Linked DNA regions of Cricetulus griseus. The protein of the gene in region 1 interacts with the protein of each later gene in a pairwise test. Links are inferred from orthologs where the notes say so. Each region holds a gene or a part of one and is shown in the gene's direction. Other genes may lie near its edges. The genes, in order: Flna, Fabp1, Casr, Adamtsl4, Hspb7 and Rflna.

What was found.
Region 2: the proteins of Flna (region 1) and Fabp1 interact in binary tests that used the Homo sapiens proteins (3 or more experiments, as listed by UniProt). The two-hybrid records come from large-scale screens. The link is inferred for Cricetulus griseus from reciprocal best matches to the Homo sapiens genes FLNA and FABP1.
Region 3: the proteins of Flna (region 1) and Casr interact in a two-hybrid assay, tested with the Homo sapiens proteins (2 studies listed by BioGRID). The link is inferred for Cricetulus griseus from reciprocal best matches to the Homo sapiens genes FLNA and CASR.
Region 4: the proteins of Flna (region 1) and Adamtsl4 interact in binary tests that used the Homo sapiens proteins (3 or more experiments, as listed by UniProt). The link is inferred for Cricetulus griseus from reciprocal best matches to the Homo sapiens genes FLNA and ADAMTSL4.
Region 5: the proteins of Flna (region 1) and Hspb7 interact in binary tests that used the Homo sapiens proteins (3 or more experiments, as listed by UniProt). The two-hybrid records come from large-scale screens. The link is inferred for Cricetulus griseus from reciprocal best matches to the Homo sapiens genes FLNA and HSPB7.
Region 6: the proteins of Flna (region 1) and Rflna interact in a two-hybrid assay, tested with the Homo sapiens proteins (2 studies listed by BioGRID). The two-hybrid records come from large-scale screens. The link is inferred for Cricetulus griseus from reciprocal best matches to the Homo sapiens genes FLNA and RFLNA.

The regions. Positions count from the first base shown.
Region 1 is NC_048604.1:1,487,533-1,491,155, forward strand, and holds the end of Flna (filamin-A), read left to right. Parts: intron 1-191; coding exon 192-368; intron 369-528; coding exon 529-747; intron 748-833; coding exon 834-1,037; intron 1,038-2,043; coding exon 2,044-2,231; 3' UTR 2,232-2,546; downstream 2,547-3,623. UniProt on the Homo sapiens protein: Promotes orthogonal branching of actin filaments and links actin filaments to membrane glycoproteins. Anchors various transmembrane proteins to the actin cytoskeleton and serves as a scaffold for a wide range of cytoplasmic signaling proteins.
Region 2 is NC_048601.1:62,890,942-62,896,242, forward strand, and holds the start of Fabp1 (fatty acid-binding protein, liver), read left to right. Parts: upstream 1-1,956; coding exon 1,957-2,023; intron 2,024-3,539; coding exon 3,540-3,712; intron 3,713-4,919; coding exon 4,920-5,012; intron 5,013-5,301.
Region 3 is NC_048597.1:53,490,067-53,495,313, forward strand, and holds the start of Casr (extracellular calcium-sensing receptor), read left to right. Parts: upstream 1-2,142; coding exon 2,143-2,327; intron 2,328-4,549; coding exon 4,550-4,856; intron 4,857-5,247. UniProt on the Homo sapiens protein: G-protein-coupled receptor that senses changes in the extracellular concentration of calcium ions and plays a key role in maintaining calcium homeostasis.
Region 4 is NW_023276806.1:60,816,652-60,821,803, forward strand, and holds the start of Adamtsl4 (ADAMTS-like protein 4), read left to right. Parts: upstream 1-1,607; 5' UTR 1,608-1,834; intron 1,835-1,910; exon of another isoform or gene 1,911-2,030; intron 2,031-2,745; 5' UTR 2,746-2,879; intron 2,880-4,210; 5' UTR 4,211-4,286; coding exon 4,287-4,306; intron 4,307-4,659; coding exon 4,660-4,717; intron 4,718-5,029; coding exon 5,030-5,152. UniProt on the Homo sapiens protein: Positive regulation of apoptosis. May facilitate FBN1 microfibril biogenesis.
Region 5 is NC_048595.1:11,830,143-11,835,396, reverse strand, and holds Hspb7 (heat shock protein beta-7), read left to right. Parts: upstream 1-1,861; 5' UTR 1,862-2,359; coding exon 2,360-2,555; intron 2,556-3,080; coding exon 3,081-3,214; intron 3,215-4,419; coding exon 4,420-4,599; 3' UTR 4,600-5,143; downstream 5,144-5,254.
Region 6 is NC_048597.1:104,631,477-104,636,542, forward strand, and holds the start of Rflna (refilin-A), read left to right. Parts: upstream 1-1,513; 5' UTR 1,514-1,543; coding exon 1,544-1,732; intron 1,733-5,066. UniProt on the Homo sapiens protein: Involved in the regulation of the perinuclear actin network and nuclear shape through interaction with filamins. Plays an essential role in actin cytoskeleton formation in developing cartilaginous cells.

The DNA.
Region 1 (3,623 bases):
TATGTGTTGTTGGGGTGGGTACCCAGTACAGTTCTGGAAGCAGAGGGGTCTCCATGGAGCAGTTGAGTTCCTGCTGGTGGCAAGAAAAATGAAAGGGATGGTTAGTACTAAGGCTATTCCTTTTAGATACCATTTGCTTGTTAAATACTGAAAAGTACCCTAGGCCCATGACATGTCCTTCTGCATCTCAGATAAGTATGCTGTGCGTTTCATCCCACGAGAGAATGGCATCTACTTGATTGATGTTAAGTTCAATGGTACTCATATCCCTGGAAGTCCCTTCAAGATCCGAGTTGGGGAGCCTGGGCATGGAGGGGACCCAGGCTTGGTGTCCGCCTATGGAGCAGGCCTGGAAGGTGGTGTCACAGGTAGGTTCATGGGTATATTTCTGAGTGTGGATGCAGTTGTTAGGGCCCTGCATCCAAGCTCTTAGCAACAGGAAGCATGTGGAAGTATCAAGGCTGTGCTGGGTGGCTGAAGACAGGAGAGCCAGTGACATACACTCTGCCTGACCTTCCATGCTCCCAGGGAGCCCAGCTGAGTTTATCGTCAACACAAGCAATGCAGGAGCTGGTGCCCTTTCCGTTACCATTGATGGCCCCTCCAAGGTGAAGATGGATTGCCAGGAGTGCCCTGAGGGCTACCGTGTCACCTATACCCCTATGGCACCCGGAAGCTACCTCATCTCCATCAAGTATGGTGGGCCCTATCACATTGGGGGAAGCCCCTTCAAAGCCAAGGTCACAGGTGAGCCCCAGGCTAAGCTGTTGGTGCCCATTCAATGCCTTGATATTCTCTAGCTACTTCTCAGTTTCACCTATTCTGTCCTGCAGGTCCCCGTCTTGTTAGTAACCACAGTCTTCATGAGACAACATCTGTATTTGTGGACTCCCTGACAAAAGTTGCCACTGTTCCCCAGCTTGCAACCTCAGGCCCAAGTCCCACTGATGTCAGCAAGGTAGTAGCCAAAGGCCTGGGGCTGAGCAAGGCCTATGTAGGCCAGAAGAGCAGCTTCACAGTAGACTGCAGCAAAGCAGGTAAGTATCCCTGTTTCTAGCTCTGGAAGTACAAAGTCAGAAATCACAAGACAGTCAACATGTGGAAAGTACAGGAACTTAGGGGTATGATTGTTGCTTTGGGGGCTACTTTATATTTGGGCTTCCTGGAGAAGTAGCTTAGTGGTTAAGAGTACTGGTTGCTCTTCCAGAGGACCTGGGTTTTGTGGGTTTTTTTTTGTTATTTTGTTTTTTTTTTTGAGACAGGGTGGAGCCTATATGGCACTCACTCTGTAGACCAGGCTGGTCTCAAACTCAGAGATCCACCTGCCTCCTCTGCCTCCTGAGTGCTGGGACTAAAGGCATGTGCCACCACTGCCCAGTTTATATAATCAGTCTTTCTTTCTTTCTTTCTTTCTTTCTTTCTTTCTTTCTTTCTTTCCTTCCTTCCTTCCTTCCTTCCTTCCTTCCTTCCTTTCTTTCTTCCTTTCTTCCTTTCTTTTTTGAAGACTCAGGTTCAAGTCCAAGCACCCATCTATATGGCAGTTCACAACTATCTATAACTCCAGTTTCAGGGAATCCAACACCCTCACACAGACATACATGTAGGCAAAACACCAATGCATGTAAAATGCATTGCCAGTTGGTGGTGGCACACCCCTTTAATCCCAACACATGGGAGGCAGATCTCTGAGTTCAAGGCAAGCCTGGTCTACAGAGCTAGTTCCAAGACAGTCAAGGCACAGTGAAACCCTGTCTAAAAGACGTACGTGTGTGTGTGTGTGTGTGTGTGTGTGTGTGTGTGTGTGTGTGTGTGTGTGTCTGTCTGTCTGTCTGTCTGTCTGTCTGTCTGTGTCTGTGAAGAAAATGTCCTGGAAGACCTGGGATTTGTCTTCTGGTGGCCTAGGTGGGGTATGAGAAGCTTGTTGGGAAGGGGTATTGTTCTAAACAGGCAAGGAACAGGATGTAGAATAGGAAGAAGGGCTCAGAGCAATTACAGCTGAAGGAAGGGGTTAAGGCTAGTCACTGAGGCCTATTCCTACCTCAGGTAACAACATGCTGCTGGTGGGGGTGCATGGCCCAAGGACACCCTGTGAAGAGATCCTGGTGAAACACATGGGCAGCCGTCTCTACAGTGTCTCCTACCTGCTCAAGGACAAAGGGGAGTACACACTGGTGGTCAAGTGGGGTGATGAGCATATCCCAGGCAGCCCATACCGCATTATGGTGCCCTGAGCCTGACAACTATGCCAGCCAGAATCTCCCATAGCAAAGAGCAACCTCACACCTGTCCCACCCCCAAGAAGTCCATTTTCCTTTCCTGAGCCCTGGGCCCTCCCTTAGATCACTCTGGCCACTCTGTCACTGCAGTCTCCCCTGCCCTGCGCTGTGCTCACCTGCCTCTCTGGGCTTTCACTTGGGTAAAGGGAGCCATTTGGTGGCAGCGCCTGACTCCTTTGGTTCTGGGAGGGTGGGAGTTCTATGTACAACCACTTGCTAGTTCTCTTTCCCAGACAAGAGGAATAAAATTTTGCTTCCATTGTCCTGTGAGTGTCTGTATCTTTCATGGAAAGAGTGATGAAGTCCAAACTGGCAAGGGTACCAACAAGGCATAGGTATAGGCTGTGGGATCTCCAGGTAGCACAGTCTGTATTTGCTCTTTGTTTCACAGAGATGGGTATATGATGTACCTAGAATGGCATAGGATCAAGTAGGCAAAATGTGGGGCATTAAGATTAATTGCTAGCTAGTTGGTGATCGCTAGCAGTGATGATCAGGTAAACTGTCTTAGAAATAGCATCAAGGCCTAGCCGTCTCTTAGATACCATGAACATAATAATACCAGCTCTTAGTGTTTGGCTTTTGAGGTGGGTTTGAGGTGCTTTGGCTGTCCTGAACTCACTCTGGAAACCAGGCTGGCCTCCAACTCAGAGATCCATCTGCCTCTGCTTCTGCCTCCTGAGTGCTAGAATTAAAGGTGTGCCCTACCACTGCTTGGCTTATTTTGATATTTTGGAGACAGGGTCTCACTATGTAACCTTGGCTGGCTTGGAACTCATTATGTAGACTAGGCTGGTCTCAAACGCACAAAATAAGGCACCATTACAAAGATTCTCCCTCTTACAACAGAGTGTATATACTTCTTCATCAATGAAGGAGGGATACCCATTCCTACGGAAGGAAGCATAGTGCTCTGGTCCTAAGTATTCTTTTTTGGTTGGTTTTTGTTTTTTGTTTGAGACAGGGTTTCTCTGTGTAGCTTTGGAGCCTATCCTGGCACTTGCTCTGGAGACCAGGCTGGCCTCTAACTCACAGAGATCGGCCTGCCTCTGCCTCCTGAGTGCTGGGATTAAAGGCGTGCGCTACCAATGCCCAGCCATTCCTAAGTATTCTTGATGGTCCTCTCTTCTATCCTCAAATGCGACTTGTAATATAGAGCCTCCTTGCTACAAATGCAGTGGGGAAATCTCTTGGTCTCAGTAACCCCTTTCTGCATCCTTTGTATGAGGATGGTTCCCTGTGTCCCCTAGAGCTAAAATTAAACAACATTCTAGCTCCCAGTGAAACCTACAGATGGCTGGGATATCTCCTTGAAACGGACCTAGCCCTATGCAAGGCTCTCAAGCC
Region 2 (5,301 bases), on another chromosome or scaffold:
AAGTGGGCGGGAACTGTCCATGAACAGAGGGGATGCTATGTAAACTCTCCCACCGTGGGCTCAGCACAGGCTGGAATGACAGAGCGGAGTTGCAGAGAAAAGAGAAAGAACACCAAGGGTGGGAAGAGAGGAGCGGGCTGTCAGCCGGAGCAACAGTTGACATCCCTTTCACATCTTTCCCCACTGGCTCTCAGCCCAGCCCCAGCCACATGTGCGCGCATGCCCATGCGCATGTGCATATTCACTCTCGCCCTCAGGTCGCTTTGCTCCTGGCCTCATGATTCACTGATTACAGGACTGGTTTGCTGAGCTGACTATTGCATATCTCTCATTACCTCTTAACCACAAGAGCCGCGGCCTCGTTATCTTTTGATGTTTCTTCCTTTGCTGACCCATCACTGATTGAGCTCATCCCATGTGCCAGGCATTGGAATCGAGCATAGTGAGGACAGAATGTACAGAAGTCATCCCAGCTGAATGAAGGAGGCAGGATGGGTGGGGAGTGTTATAAAGCGCTCCATTAGCTGGGAGAAGGAGAAAGAGCAGAAGAGACACAAATTCCAACACAGAGAAGACACCCCTGACACCTTTGGCTGGCCCTATGGTTGTGACCTCCAGAGAAAGGGGGTCTGACTAGAGATGGCTTTTGCAAGCCTAACAGCTGCGCTAGAAGTCTAGGCATTGACAGACATTTTCCAAGACAAAGCGGGGAGCTCATGATAACGACGTACAAGTTCTGTTGAGAGTAGTCATCACAGCCAGGACAGTGGACACAGGGATCTTCTGTGTCATCCAGGACCTGTGAGCCCTAGAGCACTAGGGGCCATCAGAGGTTTAAAACTGAGGCATGGCATACCCCAGGTTCTGATGTATAAACAGTCTATGTAGCCTCATAGTAGAGAGGACTAGAGGACGGAGAACTAAAGGCTATGGGTGAAGAGGCTGGTGCTAAAGTCTAGATGGAATAGAGAAATAGGGTGTGAAGTGGCACTTGCTGAGAACTGCCTCAAACACAAGAACTGTGTGTGTGTGTGGGGGGGCGGGTCAGCATCTCCATAGGGGATGAAGCATCCCTCTGCCTTCTGCCCAAGGCCTGTTCCGGTCAGACCACACTCTCATGTATCAACTCAGCTCCCTGCTCCTGCCTTGAGGCAGGGATGGAGCAAGTCAGCAGGCAATGCCTTCTTCCTTCCCTTTACTTGTCTTTACCAAACATAACACATCTAAATTTCTACACCTATGCTGTAGAGATGTAAGCATCTGCGGACAGAGACGCCCTGTTAGCACTTCAAAAGGGAGGTCTGCCTGGACTGTGGAAATACTTGGAATCATTGAGGAAGAATTCTCAGGATACAATACTGATGACATGTTTGTAAAATTATGTTTGTCTAATAATAAAAGGTTGAGAAACAAATACAAGGTTATGTGAAAAAGGTTTGAGTTTAAAGGTATTTCTCCCCATGTAACACACATATATACATAAACACATATATGTGTGTGTACATATGTAGCTACATGTATATAAATATATGCATACACACAAGTGTAAAAACACATACACATGTGTATATATGCATGTGTACACTGTTAGAGACATGATTCACCTATATCTGCGGCACGTACACATCTGTGCACATACATTTCATGCACACACACTTATTTCATTAGTGGTGATAAGTCACCATAAAGGCAACATTACAGAGAGCTTTGCACTTGATTGGCACTCACTAATGTTTGCTGAATTAGAACAAACCTCTGCCTTGCCCATTCTGATTTTTATCGTTGACCATTGCTCTCAGGAGTTAATGTTTGAACCTGGCCATAAAGAAATCGACAACCACTGACCTATGGCCTATATTTGATGAGGAAGAAGCCCCTTATAAAATAGCCACCAGTGGGTGGCCTGGCAGACAGAGCTGCTGTGGTCAGCTGTGCAAAGGAAGCCTCATCGCCACCATGAACTTCTCCGGCAAGTACCAACTGCAGAGCCAAGAGAACTTTGAGCCCTTCATGAAGGCAATGGGTGAGTGCTGGATGGGACACCAGAGCTGGTGCAACGAGAAAGAGGGTCTAGCCCTGCCATCAGCAGCTAGTCAAGGTCTGATATTGAGGTGGAAGAAGGGTCCAGGCTATCCCAAATTGAGGCGTGCTATAGTGACTTTCCTGGTCTCTTCCTCACTGGACAAGGTCACTGGGAGCTGTGGAGATGACACTGAACTGGAATGATGTACGTGTGTCTACTGGTTCATGGCCTTATTCATTCATTCATTCATTCATTCATTCACTTTTCTGGTAAATATTGGTTCAAGACCAACCACAACTCAAGCACTGTGCTTGTACAAACACCAGGGAGACAGAATGTGATAGGCTACAACCCTGACCAATGTTTGGAGACAAAGCTACAGTAGTGACCAACTATTTGGAGATAAATGCAATGAAGTGTCCCTTGATATGTATGACTTTATACCAGGTACTGCAATGCCCACATTTAATACTCACCATAAAACTGAGTTATCACTGTTGAGACAACTGAAGCCAAGAAAGGGGAAGTGGCTATGACAAGGGTCACCACATAGGAAGTATTTGAGTTGGAGTTAGAAGAAGGTGCTGGGTCCCAGAGACCCTATTTAGATACCCCACATCTCCCCCAGGGTACAGGAGGGAAGACTTTGTGGTGGCTTGGGACCAGGGAGAAAAGAGTATGTTCCAGGAAGAGACAGCCCTGTGGGCAGAGGAAGTGGATGAAGGAGGGTGCCTACAGGCAGGAGATGAGAAAAAGCAAGAGCAGGGAAAACAGGACACTCAGGTCATCCCAGGACTCAGAGCTTCTTTTGTAGACAAGTCACAGCTCACGAAGTTGAGGACCCCCTTAGTTGTATGACAGGTTCTCTACTCTTGCTGTGAATCTCCATTCACGTAAAAGCACAGATTTGCTCCGAAATCTGCAAAGCCCTATTCAAGGGCAAAGGACTTTCGTTCATTACCCACAAGAGCCTTGACTCCAGAGGCCATAGCAAGATTGCCTGGCCTGGTCCCACTTTGTGTGGGGGACCATTTGATTTGGAAGATAAACATCCTGAAGGATGAAGTGTTCCTACCCTAAGAACAAGGCCACTAACAAATTAGGAGGGAGGGCAAGTAAAAAGCAGGAAGCCGCAGAGGAAAGGGCCTCAGGCAAATGAGGGTCTTTATCACAGGTCAGTGGCTAGAGTGCTGGTCTAGCTCACACGGAGCCCTGGGTTTAATCCCCAGACTACATAAGCCCCGTATGGAGACACATGACTGTAATCCCAGCACGAGGGAGGTGGAAGCCGGAGGATCAGATGCTCAACTATATAATGAGTTAAGGCTAGCCTAGGCTACAAGAGACCCTGGCTCAAAAACTAACAATACTAAGTGGGAAGATAGTTGCAGGCCACTGACTTTCCCTCTCAGAGGCCAAAGGCTCACAGGTCTGCTATATAGAAGTGTGTGGGGCCTCGGGAACCTGCAGTGAACCCTCTTCTTCTCCGGTCTCTAACTTACATGGGCTCTTGCAGGTCTGCCTGATGACCTCATCCAGAAGGGGAGGGACATCAAGGGGATCTCAGAAATCGAGCACAACGGGAAGCATGTCAAACTCACCCTCACCTATGGGCCCAAAGTGGTCAAGAACGAGTTCACCTTGGGGGAGGAATGCGAGCTGGAGACCATGACTGGGGAAAAGGTCAAGGTATGTAGTCCCGCCTCCTGTTCCCCAAAAATTCTCCTAACAGAGACCATGTCGCTGAACCCACTTCAGGCAGGAGACTGAGAGAGCTCTGAGAAGAAACTTCTCCTTGCCTCAGGGATTTCGTGGCTTCTGGGCTCTCACTATGGAGGAGGTGGAGAAAATGGGCACAGAGTAGGATCCTCAGTCACATGGTCTCCCAGGAACAGTGCTCCTGGCTCCGAGTCCTCCAAGGAGAGAGCCGGGAAATCACTGTCAGTGAAAACCTTTATCTGAGCCAGGGCAGCTTCATCTCGGGGTGGTGGTTCCAGGCAGCAATGCCAGCTGGCCGTGGGCTGTGTGAGTGGTGACAGGTAATAGCAGAGAGATCCAGGTGCTGTGGGTCCTGTTATCTGCCCCTCCCTATGAAGCCTGCACAGCCCAGGGTAGTCAGTAGGCTGTGCATCTGTTCTCTCTACACCTGCCTTTCCTGGCGGCCTTGTGCCTCAGGCACAGCAGGAGTCTCTTTACCTTTTCAGGTTGTGCTTACTTCTTCCGCCTTTCTTGCACGTCAAGGTGAAAGGTGGAGGGGATTCTCCTGATCTGCTCATGGCCAGCGGTGGGGTGTCATGGGTTTTCCAACGGCCCATTGTGGAGGCCGAGTTTTGACCTTGTGTCTTTTGTTCATGACTAGATTTCTTCCTCCATCCCTCCCTTGCTTCCTTTATCCTTATTCTCCCCCCCCCTTCCCCAGCATCTTGACATGTAGCCCACACTGGCCTCAAACTCAGTATCTTCCGGCTCCTGCCTCCTGGATGCTGGGATTATAAGCGCTGCACTGTGCCCAGCCACAGCTGTGCTTCTATTTACTGCCATCTTTGATGTCTAAGGCTTGGAATTGGCACCATAATAGGAAAGGGTAAACAGCTACCAAAGCAAACTGTCCCCACAGCTGCTGGTGGCTGGGCCTCTGCTACAACCTCCCTCCATAAGATCCAAAATGGGATTTTACATTTTATTTTAGATTCCCCCACCCCCACCCCAAGAGAACCACTAAGGCAAGCTTGACATTCTCTTTCATTCATAAACACCCCTGTTTCCATTCAGCACTAGAGAACTGGAGATGAACAGGACCTTTGACTCACCGTCAGCTGTTACCACACAGGGAAGCAACCTCATTAGCTTCATCGCTAGACCTTTCCTCACGGGTCATGATCTCTCTTCCCTGCAGGCAGTGGTTAAGATGGAAGGAGACAATAAAATGGTGACAAGTTTCAAAGGCATGACGTCGGTGACTGAACTCAACGGCGACACCATCACCAATGTAAGTTGGCACTCTGGTCTTGCCATCCCGGTGTTTGAGGGGCATGGAGAAGTAAAGGGTGGGGGACAGGTGTCTGATATCTCTCATTCTCCCATCTTCTCCTCCCCGAGACCTTGACTTTTGTCAGTGTCTTCTACCACTTAAGAGGATCGGTTATGTTCCACGTAGTTGATACGTATTGTCTTGAGTCTTTTGAACAACACTTTTCTAAATAGGGAATGTAAGGCTATGACCAGATGAGCTCCAGGAATTGGGCCTGTCCCCTGCACTAATCTCTCTCACAGTTGTT
Region 3 (5,247 bases), on another chromosome or scaffold:
CGCAAGTGCCTTTCCCAGATGAGCCCTCTTGCCAGTTCACACAATATATTTTACTAAGGCTTAACATAAACTATGAAATTTTTTTCTTGATCAGAAATTCTCGCAAGGATGAAATGTGCAGAACAAGATAGTTGCTAACCTAATGTAGCTTAATGTATTTAGAGGCTATTTCTAAATCAGGCCTCTTCTCAAACAATTCTAGGCTGTGTTAAGTTGACAGTTAAAGCTAACTGGTAGAGGGGTGGTGGCACACATCTTTGATCCCAGCACTTGGAAGGCAGAGGCAGGCAGGTCTCTGTGAGTTTGAAGCCAGCCTGGTCTACAGAGAGAGCTCCAGGCAAGCCAGGCCTACAGAGAGATCCTGTATAAAACATTTACCATGCATATAATTTTAACATTTATTAAAGACAACAGAAGTTTGCATACTAATGAGAAAGGTGTGTTTGTTTATTTTTACATAAAAATTAAATCTCAGCTAAAAACAATGCCTCATCTTCAACGTTCTTGAGAGTTCTTTGATATTTGACTTATAATCATCAATGCTGAGCATTCCACGTTGTATGAATATGTAGTACAAAATGGCAGAAGTCTGTTTAGGGACATTTCAGAAATTATTGAAAATATGCCCCAACCCCAAGCCAGGTTTGTTGAATGGTGGGGTTTTGTTTGTTTGTTTTTTAAAAGGCATTCAAGCCATCAACTTAAATGACAAAGTTTAAGAATCAAACCTTCTGACACAATACAATCTGAAGAGACAATGATTCAATGCACGCAAAGGAATGACAATAGGAACTTACTAAACATCTGTTTTCTGCTACTAAGCCATTGGGTTTAAGAGCAGAAAACTTCATATGTGTAATGAAACACTGCAGTTCATACACACACCTATCTTAAACAGAGGCATTTCCAGAAGCGCTAGGTTGTCACTCAGTGTGGTAGCAGGCTAGTGCCAAGGTACTTGTGTGTTCAGAACCAAGTCTGTGATGAAATCACACGATGCAGCCTGGGCAAGAGCTGCCAGAAGCACTCAGATTCATCATGCATTTGATCTAGAATTAATTTCTGGTCAATACTTCTTTATAAAGTCTTTACTATTGCCAAAATTTGTTTTCCTTTTAAAATTGAACAAGGGAAGGGTATGTTTGCCACTCCACATATTAAGATCAAAAAATAATGTTTAAGAGTCCATTCTCCCCTTTAGGAATTGAACTCAGTTCCTCGGGTCATCGGCTTGTATAGCAAGCACTTTTACTCACTGAGCCATCTTGCTAGCCCTTGTCAAAATTTCCAGGGTCCCCCACATCCAATCATATGACCCTCTATGTTACAATCCACCATTGAAGAGGCTGTGTTTCACATGAACTGTTCTTAACAGTCTTGTAAACTACTACATAACAAACTGGAAACAGATATCTTAACTAAAGGGTGTGGAGCTATCAAAATAAATGAAGAATGACTGGTCTTTTCTGACATTCTTTCTTGATCTGAAGTCAGATTTGAACTTAAATGTAACTTGTTCTGTGTTTTCTTTGGGGATAGAGTATTGTTGGTATTTTAACTGAAGGAGCTGCTACTTCTGGGACATTTCCATGCATCCTTCATGCAAAAGGATGAGTGTTTGCAGTCAGCAGCTGCAGAGCAGGCTACACTTACAGATGGCCTCTTTAGACCGTGGCCTCTCAAAACTGGATGCAGTCCTTCTGCAATACAGGCAACTGAAATTTTCTGTGTCTCACAGAGAACAGCTACATTACAGCAAATTGTGACCCTAAGCCATGCTTCTCAACATGCTACCCCTCAACCCCTCTAGATGGAAATTCCCGGCTACCTCTGTCATTGTACTAAGATGGGAAGTAGGTTTATCTGAATCCACTTTGTCTCTGTCTCCCTCTCTCTTTTTTCAGAAAGCATCTGAGGCAGTCGCTACATGATGTCACTCAGGACTCCAGAACCAACCACCCTACACTTCTGCAATGGAGAAGGCAGAAATGGAGAAACAAATGCAATCACTGCTATTCTGTCATTAGCCACTTTGTAGACATGTGTCCCCCCCAGAAGTCGTGAACTGCACCAAAGGGGGAAGTTCTTGGGCCCCCAGACCACTAGCACTTTTTACTGTCCCCCCAGAGAGAAGGCAGAGCCATGGCATCTTATAGCTGCTGTTTGGCCCTCTTGGCTCTCGCCTGGCACTCTTCTGCCTATGGGCCTGACCAGCGAGCCCAGAAGAAGGGGGACATTATCCTTGGGGGTCTCTTTCCTATCCATTTTGGAGTAGCAGCCAAAGATCAAGATCTGAAGTCAAGACCAGAGTCCGTGGAGTGCATTAGGTAAGGGAAAGCTGTAAGGGTCTGTCCATCTCTGGGTAGATGGAGAAAAGCTGCACTGGGCCCAAAAGAACATTAAAAACCTTTTCTCTCTCTCTCTCTCTTTTTTTTTAAACAATGGTTATCATGATGAGGTGTTTTGACTCTTCTTTCCTTTCCCTAAAGAAGTCATTTTTCAAAAACAAAACAAATACCAAGGGTATTGAATAGAAAACACCAGGCCGGCCAAGGACCAGACATTTCGTAGCCAGAGCACCATATTGCTCAGTGCAAGACATGGGATGGTACATACTGCTATTCCAGCAGTGCAGCAGGAGGATTGAGAGTTCCAGGTTACATAGAAAGATCCTGTCTCAGTAGCAGGACCTTGTCTCAAAAACACAAACAAATAAAAAAGGATAACAGAGGGCTGGAAATTTAACCTAGTTTTACAGCTCTTTCTAGAATGCACTTGTTCTATCTTCAACCCTGCAAAATTAATGAATCTACCCATTCATCAACTAAGTAATTAAGAATATATAGAAGGGCCTGGGGAGTGGAGGGGGGATGGCTAAGAGCAGGTGGGATGTTGGGGGGGAGGGGAGGGAGAGGGAGAAGGGATTGACATCTGAAGCAAGCTTGTTCCTAATTTGAACTAATAAAATAAAGAATGTATAGAAGGAAGTCCATTTTAGCTCTTGCAAACTTTCATAGTAAATTTCTCTTTGACCCATATGCTCAGTGATCCATGAACACTGGCTGCTTCACCCTTTTTTGTTGTTGTTGGTCACCTTTAATAAAGGAATTCAGTTAAAGAGTGTAGCCACTAACACTCAAGCAAGCACTTCCTAAATACAGTCCATTGCATTTGGAACCTTTTTCTGTTAAAGCATCTTTCTCATAAAAAGCTGACCCTCCTTCCTCTGTCCTACTCCCCTCACTGCCTACCTTTGACTCTGTCACACACAGAGAACATACCTGGCAGATGGGACATCACATTTCGTAGGCATCTTGAGGTCTCTCAGAACATCTGGAGGCAGCTAATATGTCCCCCTAAATCTTCTCCAAGCCAATAGTCTCAGTTTCTCATCCTCTTACATGTGATTTTTTGAAGCTCTCACCATTCTATTTGTCCCCCATCTGATGCTCCCTCCTTGACTGTGATCCCTTTAGGATGTGGCATGCAGTCACAGACAGCTCAGTAGTAGGATGTGATTGCCACAGTGTCGCCTCGCTTAGATGGGAGACACCTCAGAGGCCATGAGTTCACGTCACATGTGACTCAGCTTCTCAGAGAGCAGCATTTTCCCTCTGCACCTGAAGCTTCTTAAAAGGGACCCAGTGTTTCCCCTTGAACTTCCTGATAGCTGGAAAATGAAAGTGAAAGATCAACAGAAAACTGCATTTCTGTTCATGCCATAAGGACAATAGAAATTATAAGTTATAAATTAATCCAAAGCAAACAATTCTTTTGTTTAGTTTTTCAAGACAGGGTTTCTCTGTGTAACTGTCCTGGCTGTCCTGGAACTCCCTTTGTAGACCAGGCTGGCCTCGGACTCACAGAGATAGGCCTGCCTCTGCCTCCCAAGTGCTGGGCTTAAAGGCATGCACCACCTCTACCCAGTAAGATTACAATTCTTAAGGCATTTCATACCACCATCTGTATGTGGTCTTCAAATACTTACCTACAAAGGGTTCATTTTGCTTTCTACTTTAAGCTCCAGGAATGCCACTGTCTAAATTTGTGACAAATCTGCAAACCTGAGGTTGTTTTTAGGCTCCTACATATTGATATCCTAATCTATTTACAGTCCTCTGCTGACTTTTTCTCCCCCAAGGCAAGGACTTGCTATGAAGCTCAGGACTGGCTGAAACTCACAGCCTTTCTGCTCCAACCTGCCAAGTGCTGCCGTCACACAGGCATGCACCACCACACCCAGCCATGCCTTAGGTACACTAGAGAATGCAGCTATAAATTATTCAGTTAAGTACCAACGTAGTCCTTTAATTACTGTTCCCTAATTCAAAGGGACATGCTGTGCTAAGAATTTTACCTATCTCATGACATCTCCAAAGCCAGCCTAATTGGAAAACGTTGTTCCTGTTTTCACACAAGAGGACCTTGACCCTCAAAGGGCACATCACAAAACTGCAGAGTGATAGAGCCCAGATTCAAGCCGAGCTCAGGCAGCCCTTCTGCTAACAGCTGACCAAGGTCTCCCACTACTTCCATGTCTTTCTTCCAGGTACAACTTCCGAGGATTTCGGTGGTTACAAGCCATGATATTTGCCATCGAGGAGATAAACAGCAGCCCTGCCCTTCTTCCCAACATGACCCTGGGATACAGGATATTCGACACCTGTAACACTGTCTCCAAGGCCTTGGAGGCCACCTTAAGTTTTGTTGCCCAGAACAAAATCGATTCTCTGAACCTGGATGAATTCTGCAACTGCTCAGAGCACATCCCTTCGACTATTGCAGTGGTGGGAGCAACTGGCTCAGGGGTCTCCACGGCAGTAGCCAACCTGCTGGGGCTCTTCTACATCCCCCAGGTATTGATGCCTCCCTTTCTAAGACTTAATTTTATTATTTTTAAGTGTGTGTGTGTGTGTGTGTGTGTGTGTGTGTGTGTAGGCGTGTACACATGTGCCAGTGCCTTCAAAGACCAGAGGTGTCAGATCTTCTGGAGTTGGAGCTATAAGTGGTGGTGAGCCACCTAACATGGGTGCTGGGAGTTCTCGAAAGCAGGTTCTCGAAAAGAACAGCTCAACCATTCAACCACTGAGCCATCTCTCCAGCCCAACTGACATCTCCTTAGATGGGCACCAGAGGTAGGGAGGAGGAGACACAGGTTTGGGGAGCTGCATGTTAGCAGTGTCCTCTGTGGCACAAACGTAGTTGCAGCACCGTATCATGAGCACTTGAGGTCTCTGAGACCTTTAC
Region 4 (5,152 bases), on another chromosome or scaffold:
GTGGCCTTGAACCCACAATGCTTCTGCAGGCCCCAGCCTCCTTAATGCTAGGATCACACTTATTGCCACCAATTCACATATTTCTTGTAACTCTGCAAACCATGATACAGAGCCTGAAAAATAAAAATGTGTAAGCAGCACTTGTCCTGAAGGAATGTAGGGATTTGTTGAGAAAACAAAATATGCAGGTTAAATTTCAAATAAGGTTAAAAATCCTGGCTTATCCCAACACTGTAATCCCATGCTCAGCTGGCTGAAGCCAGAGTTCAAGTTTGGGGTCAGCTTGGGCTACACAGTGAGTTCCCATCAACCTGTCCTATTGTTATCACAGGGCCTGTCTCAAAAACAAACAGTAGCATTCTGCCTTTTTCAGGGCTGGGAATGGAAACTGGGCTTCCTGCGTGTAAAGCTCACTAAGTTACATCCCCAGCCCCAGGACTGTTTTATAGACACACCCATCATCTTTGAGATAGCTCCTGCGTCCACAGAGCCCCATATTAACTCCAAAGTGGTCAATGTTCACTGGCAGGGTCTGTGCTATTAGACTGAGCACTTTCGGGATGGAGACTAACTTCTATGCCCTCAGCAAGAGCTATACAAGAAGTGTTAGGCGGGGCACCAAGGGCCTCTGTTGTTTTGTGGGGTCACAAGACAATGTTGCTAAAACTTCTATATTTGTGTGTTTTGACATTTAGGTTGTGAACCTGGCCTTTAATGGCTGAGTCATCTCTTTAACCTTGATTGGGTGTTTTTGCTTTATTTTTTTAGATTTTTCAAGACAGGGTTTCCCCTGTGTAATAGCCTTGGCTGTCTTGGAACTTACTCTGTAGGCCAGTCTACCCTAGAACTTGCTGCGTTTCCTAGGCTGGTCTTGAACTTGCAGTGGTCCTCCTGCCTCAGTCCACCAAGAACTGAGATTAGAAGCATGCACTACCATGCCCAGTATGTTTTCAAAAAAAATTTACAAGGTTGGACTGATATGGTGGTGTACGACTTTAATTCCAACACTTCCAGGAGCAGAAGCAGGTGGATCTCTACATAGTGAGGTCCAGGTGGCTCAGGACTTAATAGTAGGACCCTGCCTCAAAAATAAACAACCAAGCCAGGTGGTGGTGGCACACACCTTTGATCCCAGCACAGGCAGAGGCAGGAGAATCTAGTGAGTTCGAGGACACCCTGGTATACAGAGTGAGTTCCAAGACAGCCAGACCTGTTACAAAGAGAAACTCTGTCTCAGAAAAACCAAAACGAACAACAACAGCAAAATAAATAAACAAACAAATAAACAAACATCTACCTACGAAAAGACGTACAAGCAGAATATAAATAGAATAAAAAGCATAAAAAGGTAAAACTCTTTCTCATCCCTTCTTCTTCACTCGGGCACTCCTTCTGAGTCATTATTCCACATGAAGATGGACAAACATTTCCAAGCCTAATATACACATCAAAGTCTCCCATTCTACAGACGACACTGCTGCCGCACTGATGTTGAAGTGCTAGTGAAAGACCACAGAGCTGGCAAGCTCTCGAGCTGAAATTCAAATCCAAATTTGTCTGACTCATAATTCAACGTGCATTCCTTCCGCTAAGCTCCGGGGTGTAAAATTTTATGGATGAAGAAACCGAGGCTCACAGACATCCTCGGCCATCAGAGCCACACGGTTCACTGCCCAGCATGGGAAAAGAGGAGGAGATGGCACGGGCTGCGTGGAGGAGAGGGCCTCGGCTTCGGTGGATCTCAGCTTGAGGAGGGCCACATGGGTCCAGTTTGTAAATCCCCCTTGCCCGTGCTCTTCGTGTACAAGCTCCACCCGAAGGCTGCTCTGACAGGGTCGGTGGGGTCCCAAACCCTGGGGTGGGGGCGGGAACGATGCCCGCATGGCCTCTAGCCGTCGGGGGCCGGCGCGTGGCGGGCGGGGCGCGGGCGGCACGGGGAGGAGCCTGCCGCGGGCGGGCGGCGCTGTCCCCGGGCTCCCGGCCCTGGTGGCGGCCGAGGAGGGCAGCTGGAGAGAGCGGGCGCAGAGAAGGTAGAGCCTCCCCGACCCCCGCCTGGGCTCTGATGGTCACGGAACAGCGGACCCTGGGCCGAATTCCTGGGGAGGGGGTCTGGTCCCATTACCCGGGCGAGGGCTTGAGCCAAGATTCCTATTAAGTCACATAGTGAAGTTGGAAAACATACGGGACCTCCCTGCAGCCGGCGCCACCCGCTCCTCCCCGAGGGGCTTCGGGAGGATGCACCCCTACGCCTGACTCCGAGAACGCAGGGATAGGGTGTCCGGGAGGGATGCGGGTGGGGCTCTTCGCACAGCACAGCCTTTTGGGAGAGGTTGGGGGGAAAGACAGACACCTGTTGGGATGGAATTCTAACAGGACAGCAACTCCCCTTTGCCAGTCCAGCCCTTACTAGCGCTCCTTTCTTCCTAGCTCATTTGCCCGAGGCGAGCCCAAGGGTGAAGGGGTTAGCTCCATACAGGTCACTTTCCTTGCTGTCAACGGCCCAGTGTGGGGTGTGAGCAGGAGCAGCCTAGGCTGGTCCTTACCAGAGTCCACCTTGACTTCAGGGTGGCCACCTCCAACTTCTGTCTTCCTCACCCTTGGCACAACAAGCATGCATTTGTGCCGGGAGGGGGAGTCTCCTGCTTCCCTATGCAGGGGAGGGTGGGGTGGACTTTTCCAGAGAGGGAGCCAGGCCTGGCCCTGGCCCCAGGAGCTCTCATCACCCCCCACCCCTCACTTCTCCAGGGAGCTGCCAAAGCCAGCTCAGGACAGGATTATGTGTACTGGGTAGACCACGGAGAGGCAGCAGGGACAGACCTGGGGGAGCAGAGAGAAGCAGGAGGTGGAGAGGGGACCAGCATCGGACAAGAGAGAGACAGGTGGTGCCCATCACTCCTTCTTCCAACTTCGAGGGGTTGAACATGGCTCCTTTTCCACCAGGGCTGTTGTGGACCTCAGTGGCTGGCCCAGCAAGGGGAAGGAGAGGGCTCAGCCACTTTGTTCCTGTCTTCAAATTCCCAAGTTCTGGGGTCCCGGGAGTGGGGGTTTGGCTAGCTTTTGCTTTCCCTCTGTTCTTTGCCTGCCCTGAGCTGGCCCTGTGTTGGCCAGCAATGCTTGGATTCCTCTGGTGGTGCCATTTAGATCCAACAGAAACAGTGTTTTTCCTGGAAAGCAGAGTTGAGATGGGATGAGGGGTGTGGGTGGGAAGGGCCTCAAAGAGAAGGAGGGGGCTGGAGGACAGGGCCTTGGGAGAGACAGGCTATGGAAGCCCCTCTCTACAGCATTCAAGGCTAGACTTCAGGGTGGACTTCCCGGGTATACCAGAAGGCGAAGCTGGTGACTGGGAAGGATGAGCAGCTATGGCTGCATCTCTCTCCTTCCTAAGTGCCCAGCCATTTTGGCTGAACATCGGAAGAAAAAAAAAGAAGAAGAAGAAAACTAGCTGTACATGAACTAGGTTGCCACGAGCCAAGGCCTCGTGGATGCTGGCACCCACAGGGAGGTTAAGTCACCGCCTCTTCTCTAAAGATGAAGCCATTAGCCCACTTAGTTTATCCCTTGGACAAAAAAGTGCCTGTGGTCACCCAGATGTGCCTGGCTGTTCCTTCATAAGGAGCTTTATCTAAGAGAGGGAGAAAGGTCTGGGAGGCAGGTAGGAAACAAATACTCGGGTTTTTTATTTTTATTTTTACTTTTTTTTTTTTTAAGGGGGAAAGAGTTTTTTTTGTTGTTGTTGTTGTTTTTGTTTTTTTGTTTTTTTTTTTTTTGAGATAAGGGTCTTGCATCACCCAGGCTGGATCTTCTGCTCCCCGACTCAAATGGTGGGATTAAGGCTTTTGCCCCCACACTTGGTGTCAAGGGCCCTCTGGTACCTCATAGGGGTACCTGGCATAGCCTGCCTCCTCTAGGTCCTGGAGCTCTGGGAGGAAGAACCTCCTGGTTCCCCCTTCCTCCACCCTGCCCTTCCTCGGGCCTCCAGAGGAGCTAAGTCCATCTTGGGCCACAGGGAGGGAACTAAACTGAACTGGAAGGCTGAGGTCAGACCCCCACCCTTGACTCAGCAGATGACAAAGACAGTGTTCCTTATTGCTCCCACCCTTAGGTCCTAGAGGGGTGGACCAGTTTTCCCTCCACTCTGCTGGTGCTGTGCTGGGACAGCCCTTTAGTCTTCCGGCAATCTGCAGGGGTAACCACTGTGCTTCTTCCTCAGAGTATCCTCCGTGCCCAGATGCCAGAGTAGCTAACCTGCCCCTGCCTCCCAGCCCAGGGGCAGTCAAGGGAGAGCAATGGAGACCTGGCTGGGCAGGTAAGAGCAAGGGCTGTCAGTCTCTAATAGTAAGAGCAGGGAAGGGGCCCGGCAGTTGTGGCACACACTTTAAACTTGGGAGGTAGAGGCAAGTAGATCTCTGTGAGTTTGAGGCTAGCCTGGTCTACAGAGAGAGTTTCAGGGCAGCCAGGGCTACACAGAGAAACACTGTCTTGGAAAACCAAAAAAAGAAAAAGAGAAGGTAAGGGATTGTTAGAAGGGGCCTGGCAAGTGACAAGGAACTTCTGCTTCCTGAGAAGTTGGCAGCCAGGATGTGGGGAGCCTGGGTGGGGGAGGGCTATGTTGTAACACTTCTGGCTCCCTCTAAAGTCCCCCACCCCCTTGGTGTGCAGGCTCTGGTTATGTGTAATGCTGTTTCTGCCTCTTCTTCAGCTCTGCCGGAATCAGGAGGTGAGCCCTAGCTAAGTGATCGGCTGCTACCCTGCTCAGGGTCCCTCCACTCTACCCTAGCCTGCCCTATCGGGAGGCTTCACATTCCCACGGGAGACTTCAGCCCTGTGTACCAGGCTTGGCCCACCCATCTCCCTTGCCAATTTCCTCTCTTTTAGTCAAAGAACATACACACGCGCGCGCGCGCGCACAGACACACACACACACACACACACACACAAGGCTGGAGTCCAGCCCTACCGGTACATGTGACCTTGGACAACTAACAACCCTTGAACCTCGACACTAATTCTAACCTTTTCTCCTATGTAGCTCTTTGGACCTTCTCTTCAGACACCAGCAGAGGAGGGCCAGGCCCCTGAGGGCCTCTGGGGACATTGGGGCCGGTGGGCCTCCTGCTCCCAGCCCTGTGGGGTGGGAGTGCAGCGCAGGAGC
Region 5 (5,254 bases), on another chromosome or scaffold:
CGCCCACACACGCCACACGCCACACACGCCTCCACACGCCTCCACACGCCTCCACACGCCTCCACACGCCTCCACACGCCTCCACACGCCCACCACATGCCCTCCACACGCCACCACACGCCTCCACACGCCGTCACACGCCTCCACACGCCATCACATGCCTCCCTCCCCGTCCTTCCACTCCCACTGCCCTTCTGTCCCTCTCCTGTGATGTTCCCTGGGCTTTGGAGAGACCTTTGGGGACCATTGTTTTTGTTTTTGTTTCTTTTCAAACAGGATCTCAGAAATAATGACCTCCAACTTCCTATGAAGCCGAGACGGGCCTTGAACTCCTGATCCTCCTGGTATGACAGGCATGCGTCACCACACCCATCTAGGGACTGGATTCCTGTCTCTGTGATCTGACAGAACCTTGCCTGGAGTCAGAGAATGACCTCCATGACCTTTTGAGGTCCTGCCTGGCCACTGAAGCCAGAGGGTTCAATATTTATATGGATGACTCCTCAGGGACGTGGGGGAAAGGAGGGGGACGGTGGGCGGGTGTGGGGAGTGAAGGGAGCTGACACCCAGCAGCAGTGACTCAGGCCCTCAGCACCGTGACAGTGACAGCGTGTCTGCATTTAGCTGTTGGCTCTTGTTTCCCTGGCAGGCTGCTCTGGGGGGCTCCCCACCCGACCCTACCTCTTTTCCTCTCTCCTCAATACCAGTGACTCTCTGAAGCCTTGCCAACTGCCCATCACCCAGGATAGGCCCCGGTTCGGTTCCCAGCCCCCACATGAGTAATTCACCGTTATTCGTAACTCCAGTTCCAGGAGATGTCTAGGGGTGACACATGCCACATGCCTCCACACGCCACCTTTAGCTCCAGCCATCACTCTGACCCCCCAGCTCTGCCCTGTCCTGTCCTGACTTCCCATAGCACCAGATCCAGTCTTAGTTAGCTCTGTGAACCCAGAAACAAGAGGCACAGCCCTCACCTCCAGGGACTCTGGGTTAGTGGGGGAGAGACAGGTGATCCTGACCCAGGAGCGGGGATGAGGGGGTACCAAGAGAGGTGTCAGAACGCACAAAGACTATGTCACACTGTCAAGTATTGGGGACTCAGGACACAAGGAGCCCCTGTAGGCTGCAGCAACTGGAGATTTCCACGGGAGAGAGGATTGGGTGATTATATGGGGAGAAAGCACAAGATTTGTGTTCCAAAACTGCTTGATGGACTGGTGGGCCACCTGCCCCCTGAAAGTGTCTCTCCTGGCTTCTGCCTCCTACCCAGCATCAGAGAGTCTGGAGTTCTACTTAGTAGTCAGTGAAAAGAAAGGGGCTTCTTGGACACAAGGGTCGGGCACATCTCGGGTGGAACCCCAACCATTCTAACGTGCTCAGGCCCAGTCTTTCCCTTCTGGACAGGCTCCATTTCCTGGTCTAGAAACTGACCTAAAAACTCCTCTTTTTGAGCCATGGAAGATGGAAAAGGGCTTTGCTGGGAAGGGACAGCAACACCCAGGGACACCCTGGGAGTCCCTAGTGTTCTCTTTGACCTGTGACTACTACGATCCTGGGCAGGCAACTCCCCTGAGCCTGAGGTGGAGGGACTATTGCTAGCAATTTAGCCTCCTAGACCTTTTAGGATAATTATCAAATTATCTGCCCCTTCCCTGAAGCTGGGCCCAATCCCCTCACCCCCACCCCGCCAGCCCCACCTCCAGCTGCCAGCTTTCTTCTATTCTGCTACAACAGATTCTTAGACCTGAGACGGGAGGGAGGGGTAGATTTGGGGTTCCTGTGGGAGTTGACAGGGGCCACCTATGTGTTCTAGCCCCGCCCCCTGGGCTGTCTCAACCTTTCTGAGGAGATAGCTGAACCTGGAGCTGCAGGTGTCTCACAGAGAGTCAGCAGGGCTCTTGTACATGCCCTCTCCTCAGGAGTCTCATTAGGGAGGCACAGGCCCTGAGAACCAGTCTGAGAGGAGAGTCAGGTCCCTGGCTAGGGAGGGAAACAGCAAACCACAAAGTCCTGGGGCAGGCATAGAGCAAGACTTGCCCTTGCCCTGGCCACTACAGAGGCCCTTGGGGCTGGAGCTCTGGGCTTGGAGTACCAGGCGATGAGCTCAGCCCTCCAACCCGGCCCTTGTGTGTCAGGCTGTCAGCAGGGCCATTTCTCCCAAGAAGATTTCCAGGCCCCTCTGGGCCATGAAGAGGCCTAAATTTAGCGAGCAGACAAGGGGCTGGCCTTGGGCCCAGGGACAGTCAGGCCTTATAAAGCGCTGGCAGTCAGGGCCCCGGCATGCTTCCCTGGAGGCCTGCACCCACACGCTTCTCCAGCCCAGCCCCTGCCTGGACAGGGTCCCTGCTGCCTGTGGATGAGCCACCGGACCTCCTCCGCCTTCAGAGCGGAGAGAAGCTTCCATTCTTCCTCCTCCTCCTCCTCCTCTTCTTCTTCTTCAGCCTCCCGGGCTCTCCCAGCTCAGGACCCACCCATGGAGAAGGCTTTGAGCATGTTTTCAGAGGATTTTGGCAGTTTCATGAGGCCCCACTCGGAGCCCCTGGCCTTCCCAGGCAAGTGCTGGGGCTCTGAGGGGAGGGGAGAGACACAGATAGGAGCGTCTGCTCCAGGGCCTCCCTGAGCAGGCTGTGGCCACCCCACCTGCCAGGAATAGGTGCTGCATGGGTTCTAGGTACATGTGGCTGCCAAGACAGACCTGGCCACCAAGACAGATATATATGGTTAAGATACAGGTGGGCCTCCTGGGGACAATGGTGACCTTAGGGGTGAGATGTGAATCCAGTAGTCCCACACAGCCCATGTCCTAATGGGAGCCCTAGAGGGATAGCTGAGATTGAGGGGTGGCTGGCCCCCCAGAGCTTCCAGGCCTTGGATAAAGGAGAGATCTGCATGTATAGATTACAGATTAAATAGAGTGAGGCTCGCACCCACCCCCAACTCCCTCAAGGTAAGCTGCAGGAGTGAGGAGAGGGGCTCTTGTCTAGGAGAGCCATTCATTTCCCCAAGGGAAGAGCAGAGACCAGGTTTTCAGGTTCGGGGCTTGCTAGGTGCCCAGCTTATAGCAGTTCTGTCCACAGCCCGACCTGGGGGACAAGGCAGTGTCAAGACCCTTGGCGACGCCTATGAGTTTACGGTGGACATGAGAGACTTTTCCCCTGAAGATATTATTGTCACCACCTCCAACAACCATATTGAGGTGCGGGCTGAGAAGGTAAGTCTTGGTCCTGCCCCCCCCCCCAGGGTCCCCACCTTCCCCGGAACTCTGCCTGGTCTAGCTGGCTCTGTGTCCCCTAGTTTCACCCGTCTTCTCCACTGACCACTGTTTCCTTCCCTGTCTGCACGCCTCCGGGACAAACTGCAGCCCATTCCTGGTGGGCTCACAGGCCACGGACCTTCATGGCCCTCTCCAACCTAAGGTTCATAGAACCTGTCTTTTGGAGCCCATGTCATGGCACCTGGGGATCCTCCAGGGATGACAGAGGGATCTTGGGATGTGAGCAGAAGGGACCCTGAGCGGTTGAGACATGAGTGGGTGAGGAGAGAAGGGAAGTGACCATGGTGGAGTAAGGACAGCTCTTTGGCAGAAGGTAGAAGAAGGTGGCAGTGGCTGATCCAACTTGGGCAGCACAGTCCACTCATGGCACCCTCCACCCTTCTTTCAGCCCAGGGCCAGAAGCGTGGGCCCTGTTGTGGTACCTCCACACTGGGCCTGAGGCTGAGCAGGAGCCACGGAGCTCAGAGTCACACCCACCCTGAACCCCACGTACCTTAGTCAGAGTCTCAGGGTAGCTAGATCATCAGAGAATGCATGGCCAGCCGAGACAGTGGCTGCTGCAGTCCTTAGGACCATGCTGATTCTTAGAGGACATTTGCCAAGGCCTCCCTGACCACCTCCCAAGCTTGGCTAGCTCCCCTAATTAGGGCAGGATACTAGGAAGCCCCGCTAGGGGTTCGAGGACTGAGGGCCACTGGCTGCACGTGCCAGCCCCACGTCTCAAGGGTGACTCAGCCAGAAGACTCCGATGGACACTATGTGCTGGCTGGGCTTCGGGGGAGGGCGGTGGCCCTGGTGGTGGACACTCAGGGTGTCTGGGGATCCAGAGGGCACAGCTGTGTCATCTACCCACCACGGCTCAAGAGTCCCAGACTTCCAGCTACTCCTGTGCAAGTTCAACCCTTACAGAGCCCCACCTAACCCATCTTACACACAGCTCCCCTTGGGACCTCTGGAGCCCCTCTGCAGAGCCCTTGGCTCCTGGCCACCGCACACCTCTGGCCAGCTCTTTCACATCTGATAGCAGTGGGGTAACAGGACAGAGAGCAAAGCAGAGACTCTGGCTTGATTTGGGCATGACCAGGACCCAGGATGGGGCAAGGGCTGGGACAGCCACTCCTGACCTGTCATCCCTCCCCCAGCTGGCAGCTGATGGCACGGTCATGAACACCTTTGCTCACAAGTGCCAACTGCCAGACGATGTGGACCCTACATCGGTGACCTCGGCCCTTCGAGAGGATGGCAGCCTCACCATCCGGGCACGGCGCCACCCCCACACAGAACACGTCCAGCAGACCTTCCGGACGGAGATAAAAATCTGAGGGTCTCCCCACCCTTACCCTCCCCTCCCCGAATCTCCTCTACTGGCCTGCTGGTGAGGTCATCCTGACCCCTGACGATGGCCCCCAGAACATCTCAGCCCGGTCCAGTCACTCCACACACTCTTAGGCCCCAGGTGGGTCAACCTCCCCCCAAACTAGGGCCCTCCTCTCCACCCAGGAGCAGTCCCAAGACCCTCTTGTTCTCTCTCAGATAGGATCTCCCTGTCTTAGTTCACAAGAGAGGGGTTGAAGGATGGACTTGGGGAGAAAGTTGAGGGCTAAGCAAATGATCAGTGGACAGAGAAACATCTCTGCAGGGCAGGGGACCAGGGACGACCCTCCTGGCAAGTGGAATATAGGAGCTGGCCACAAGCAGGGCTGCTGGCCTAGGTGGACTGCCTCAGGCAAGCCAGAGAGATAACCATGATTGTCACCTCCCCAGGGCTGCAAGTCTCCAAACCAGGGCTACCTGTCACCCTGGGCCCCAGTCAGCTACTTATGCCAGGCAGGGACACCTGTACCCAGGTGGGGTTTATTAAAATAGCATGAGGCTCCCATCTCCAGCTGCTGGTGCCCTAAGCTCCTGGGTGCCTTCCCCCCCCCCCCGCCCTGCAGGGAGAGTCCCCCTTAGGAAGTGAGAGCAAGAGCAGTCACA
Region 6 (5,066 bases), on another chromosome or scaffold:
CATCCTGCTATTCCCTCTATCTGGATGTCTGGTCAAGTGTTACCTCCTCTGGGAAGCCCTCCCTGATTGACTGGCACAACTGCCTGGTGGTACCTTTGTTCAGCCCCAGCCTGTATCACCTGGTGTATTATCTCTCCCCCACCTACTGAGTAGTTCTAAGGACAGGCCAGCCAGCTGCACCTGAGTCCAGGTCTAGGCACACCTGCCAGCCAGAGAACTTGGCCCACCTACAAGGAGGACGAACCTCCAGGGGCCACTATGAAGCTGGGGTCTCTCCCTCTGTCCAGCAGATGTGGGGTAGATGGATTAGCAGAGGTCACTTGTCCCCTACGCTGTATGCCATCCTGCCAAGTAATCTGTAGGTATCTGGGATCCTGTGTCCAGATGTAAGGCTGGAGGCAGGCAGTGGTGGGATGCCCTCTGGTCCCTGTCAGAAAAGCAGGCAGAATGGGAACTGTGTGTTCAGCTCCCATGGGAGATAAAGTGGGACAAGGTAGGCAGAGCCCTGTCCCTGAATGAGACCTTTTAGAGCAGTGGTCCTCAACCTTGGGGTCACCACCCTCTGGGGGGATCAAAGGACCCTTTCACAGGGGTCACCTAAGACCATCAGAAAACACAGATATTTATATTACAATTTATAACAGTAACAAAATTACAGTTATGGAGTAGCAATGAAAGTAATTTTATGGTTGGAGGTCACCACAACACAAGGAACTGTAATGAAGGGTCGAAGCATTAGGACGGCTGAGAACCAGGTTTTAGAGAAACCCAACAACAGCAGGTGTTAGGGACTTCTGGAAGTCTGCTCCCCCCATCCCCACCCCTTGGGTAACTTCCTAACCATCTTTGTGTCTCCATTTTCTTCCAGAAAATGAAGATCAAAGGCAAGCAAGCATTCACAGGCAGAGTTGGAGAATTAAACATACTGGTGGGGAGAAACGACTGGAATGAAGGGAGTGCTATCTACACACCAGGTGTCCTTGTTACCTGGGCCAGGTGGCCCCGGGCAGGCGGGCATTGCTGCCCAGACAAATTTACAGAAGCTAAAGGAGGTGAGCACTCTGGTGGTCCCAGGGGCAGATATTGATCCTGGGTCCTTTGATCATTCGGTTCCCCACTGTAAGTACCCCCTCCCAACTCCCCGCAGGTTGCTGAAGGTGCTTTTCTTGGAGATTCAGTCCAGGTGAGGGACTCCAGCAATGGCACCACTGGTGGCTCAGCGTTCTTTTTGAGGTGACTCTGGACTCAAGTCAGCATTCAACACCTCCGGGGTGGGGTGGAGGTGACTTTTGCAGGCTGGAGACCTTGCAGTCCTCACCCTGCCCTGGCCGGGTGGGTGGTCAGGGCGGGAGCGAGAGGCGCAGGAGGAGGAGGGCGGGGAGGGGGCGGCGCCTGGGAAAGGCGGCTCAGCTGGCGGCTGGAGGCGTTTGCATCGGGAGTGGGTCTCAGCTGGAGCCGCAGGCCAGAGCTTTCTCGTCTCCCCTCCGGCCCAGTGGTGGCGGGGACCCGAGCTGCTGGGGCCCGCGCCCCGTGCCCGCCAGTCATGGTGGGTCACCTGCATCTGCAGGCCATGGGGGACACGCGTGAGCAGAGCCGCGACGGCTTGCTGGACAGTCCCGACTCGGGACTGCCCCCGAGTCCCAGTCCTAGCCCTCCCTTCTACGCCCTGTCGCCAGGCACCCTAGATGCCCGAGCCACCACCGAGCCCCCAGGACCCAATGAGGCACCAGCGGTAAGACGCGGGGACCCGGCAGTGGGAGGCCCATGCAAAAGCCAGCATGGTCTCCTCCCTCCTGAGGCAGACAGGGAGTTGCACCAGACTCACCAGGACCTGTAGGCTGGGAGTTTCAGGGTGGGTTGCTGGTGGGCTAGAGTACAGCGTAATGTCCTGGTGTTCCCAAAGTCCACCATCTGCAAAGGGGCCTGTTGTGGCCATCTGTCTGTGGGTTCCGTCCCTGCTGCTGTCTCCTGTCCTGTTGATCCATCCTGGGGCTGGACCCATCCCGGGGCTGCTAAATGGAGACAGTTTTGAAAACGCAGCTCGGCCTGAAAGCCTCCACGGGCTTTGTCTTGTGGGTGTAGAAGCGGAACTGCCCTCAGAGCGGAGCTGGACCTAGGGGCTGCTGGACCGGCTTTGCATGGATTGCTCTGGAGATGGGGTAGAGGGAGAAACTTGAAGAAAGGGCGGCTGAACACAGCAGAGGTTACACTTGAACCTTGTGGCAGACCCTGTCTGTGGCTTGATATCTTCCACATGGATGTGTTAAGGCCTTTCCCGCCAAGGTGTGCAGAGTGCAGTAGGCATTTGAACTTCTTTAAGCAAGGTCCAGCCTGCTTCCCCTCCAGGCATTGACATAGTCCAGGGCACACACAGTTCAGGGATCTCAACTTTTATTTAAATCTCCCCAAGAGACTCGAGCACTCAGGGAAGTTGGAAGCCTGTCTTGAATTGAACTTGCACCTCTCTTTGGGGAGGGTGGGGGGCTGGTCGAGGACTTTAGGAGTAAAGACAAATGAGCAATGCTGTTCTCAGGGAAACTTGGGGACAGACAGGCCAGCACTCCTGCAGCTGTGGATCACCTGGTGTGGGCTGCATGGTCCGGAAGAAATCTCAGGGTGTATTCCGAGAGAGGTCAGAAAGAAGGGACCAGGAAGATTTGCTCCAACTCTCTGTGACCTAGAGACCGCGTCTGCAGGGAGTTCTGGATGCATACTGTGCCAGCCATAGGTGCCATGAGAACAGCATGTCCGGCTGGTTGATGCTGCGGTTATTGTTTCCATTCCTGGCTAAGTAGGTGCCAGCTACAGAGCTATACTTCCCCAGTTCTGTGACTTTGTATAGGCAGGGAAGCCTGGGGCCATTGGGGCCCAGGTAATGAAGAACACCTGATATTTCCCTCATGCCAGGGATGGCTCTCTCTCTGCCAGTGAGTACTTGTTTGCCCCTGACCTCCATTTCCTGGAGGAAGTCGAGGCACAGAAATGGTTAGGGAGTTGCCCAAAGCTGCCCAGAATAGAACCTGGGAACCTGGTTCCAGTGTGCCTTTAAACCTGCCCTGGTTTTCACAGTGTAGCAAATTAACGACCTTTAAAATTTTTAAACTGAAAAACAAGTCGAATAGCTATGGGGTCAAGGTGCTGCTTTTAATAAAGAGAGGAAGTAGTAGCCATGGCAACCTTGCCTCAGGTTTGGGGCTCCAGCTGGGGCCCCACCCATCTACCAGTTACTACCCACCAGGTTACTCGCCTCCTTGAAATTCCATTCCTTCTGTGCTCTGTGGTTTAATGGCCACCCTGTCCCCCTGCTTGGGTAACTCCTAGGCCCAGGTGTTGGCAGGCTGACAATTGCCAATTGATTGATCTATTGCGTGGGATAGAAGGCTATCTCACATCTTGGGGTCCTGTGCAAGGAAGAAGCTATGTGAAGGTGGTCACATGTCCCTTGGCTCCTTCCAGCATCAGTGTCATTGTGCAGAACTGTCATTCTAGTGGGGAGCTACATTCACTTCCTTTGATGTGTGACAGTGCCAGGAGCGATGGGCAGCCATGTAGGGGAGTGACGACGACAGAAGGGCAGGCCTCAGAAAACCAGAGCAAACCAGGGAGTGGATTACTATTGTACAGGGCTGAAATGTGTCTCAGTCTGAGAGGGTGGCATGTGCCAGTGTCCTGTGGCAGAGACCAGAGAACAAGAGGAGGGTCTAGGTCAGGAGGCTGGAAGCTAATGCTTTGTTTTTTGTTTTTTAAATAGGCTTGTGTCTTTTATTTTATAAAAAACAGTACCATGAGCTCCCAGGATCCCCAGATTAGAAACCCCAATCAGGGATGTAATTGAAAAGTGCATATGAAGAGTACAAAGTGACCTTTTGTGTGTGTTTGGGGGTTGTGTGCTGCCTTCCCATGTGGCCCCAGGAGAGCAAGATGCATTGGCTGGAGCAGGGACCATTTGGCTGCTACCTTTACCCCAAGAATGGTCAGCCATCCAGGCAGGGCTAGATGAAAACAGACTGACCCTAGCTCTGTCTGCCACTCTGGGTTCCAAGCTGGACTTCTACACCAGGTGATACACATCAGGTGCCCCCCCCCCAATTCCATCACAGCTGTTGTGTGTGGGATAGGTATGGCGGGGAGCCATGTCCTGCTGGCTGAGGAAGGCTCCCAGCACTTACAAGCAGTTTGGGCAACTGCTGCCTGCACCCCACCCAGGTTTATTGCCCCTGGGGCGGGGGGGGGGCTGCAGATGGCTTTTGGGATCTGACCTGGGGGACTCTCTGGGTGTTGAATGACAGGTGACAAGAAGTGGAGTGGGGAGCCACTGCTGTGGAGACTCCAACTCCCTGGTTTCTCCTGGTTGATTCATAAGAGTCAGTATTGCAGGGTGGAGTGTGCTTCTGATGTCACTCTGGACCATCCAAAGGAGCTGGCTTCCTCCTCCCAGGTGGGTGCATAGCTGGGCTCTGGTCCAAGGAGAGTGGGAAGGGCTTGATATAGATGCCACTACTTTGGGGCCTCTGCATTTTCATTTCTATGAAGGCTTGTATGAGAGATGAGGTGGCTGGTGCCTGGAGTCAGGAAGGATGGAAGGACAATGGACAGATGGACAGACTGAAGGAAAAATGAGAAAGTAGATAGGTGGATGGACAAGTTAACAAGTGGATAGAATGCACAATAAATTGGCAGGCAAAGAGGACTGGGCTCAACAGACCCATGGCCTAGGTGAGGTGTCTTGTAGAAGGGCAGGAGCGCGCAGGGTGGGTGAAGCCTGCAGAGGAAGTGGGGGAGGCAGGGAGATCTGCCGGCTTCCTTCCAGCCTAGTCGGCTTCACTTCCAGGGGACTGCCTTCCCGTCTCCACAGCCCAGCCCCCAAGGTTGGGGCACCTGCTGTGAAGAGCCACACCCTTGGTGTGACGAGCATACAGGCCACACCCTGACAGGTGTCTAGGGAACCCACAATCAGCCATTTTCTGGGGAAAGCACCACACATGGGACTGGTTATGATGGCTACAACTAATGTACCACAAACAGGTAGTTTAGACTACGGAGGCCACACTACACTACGGGAATCA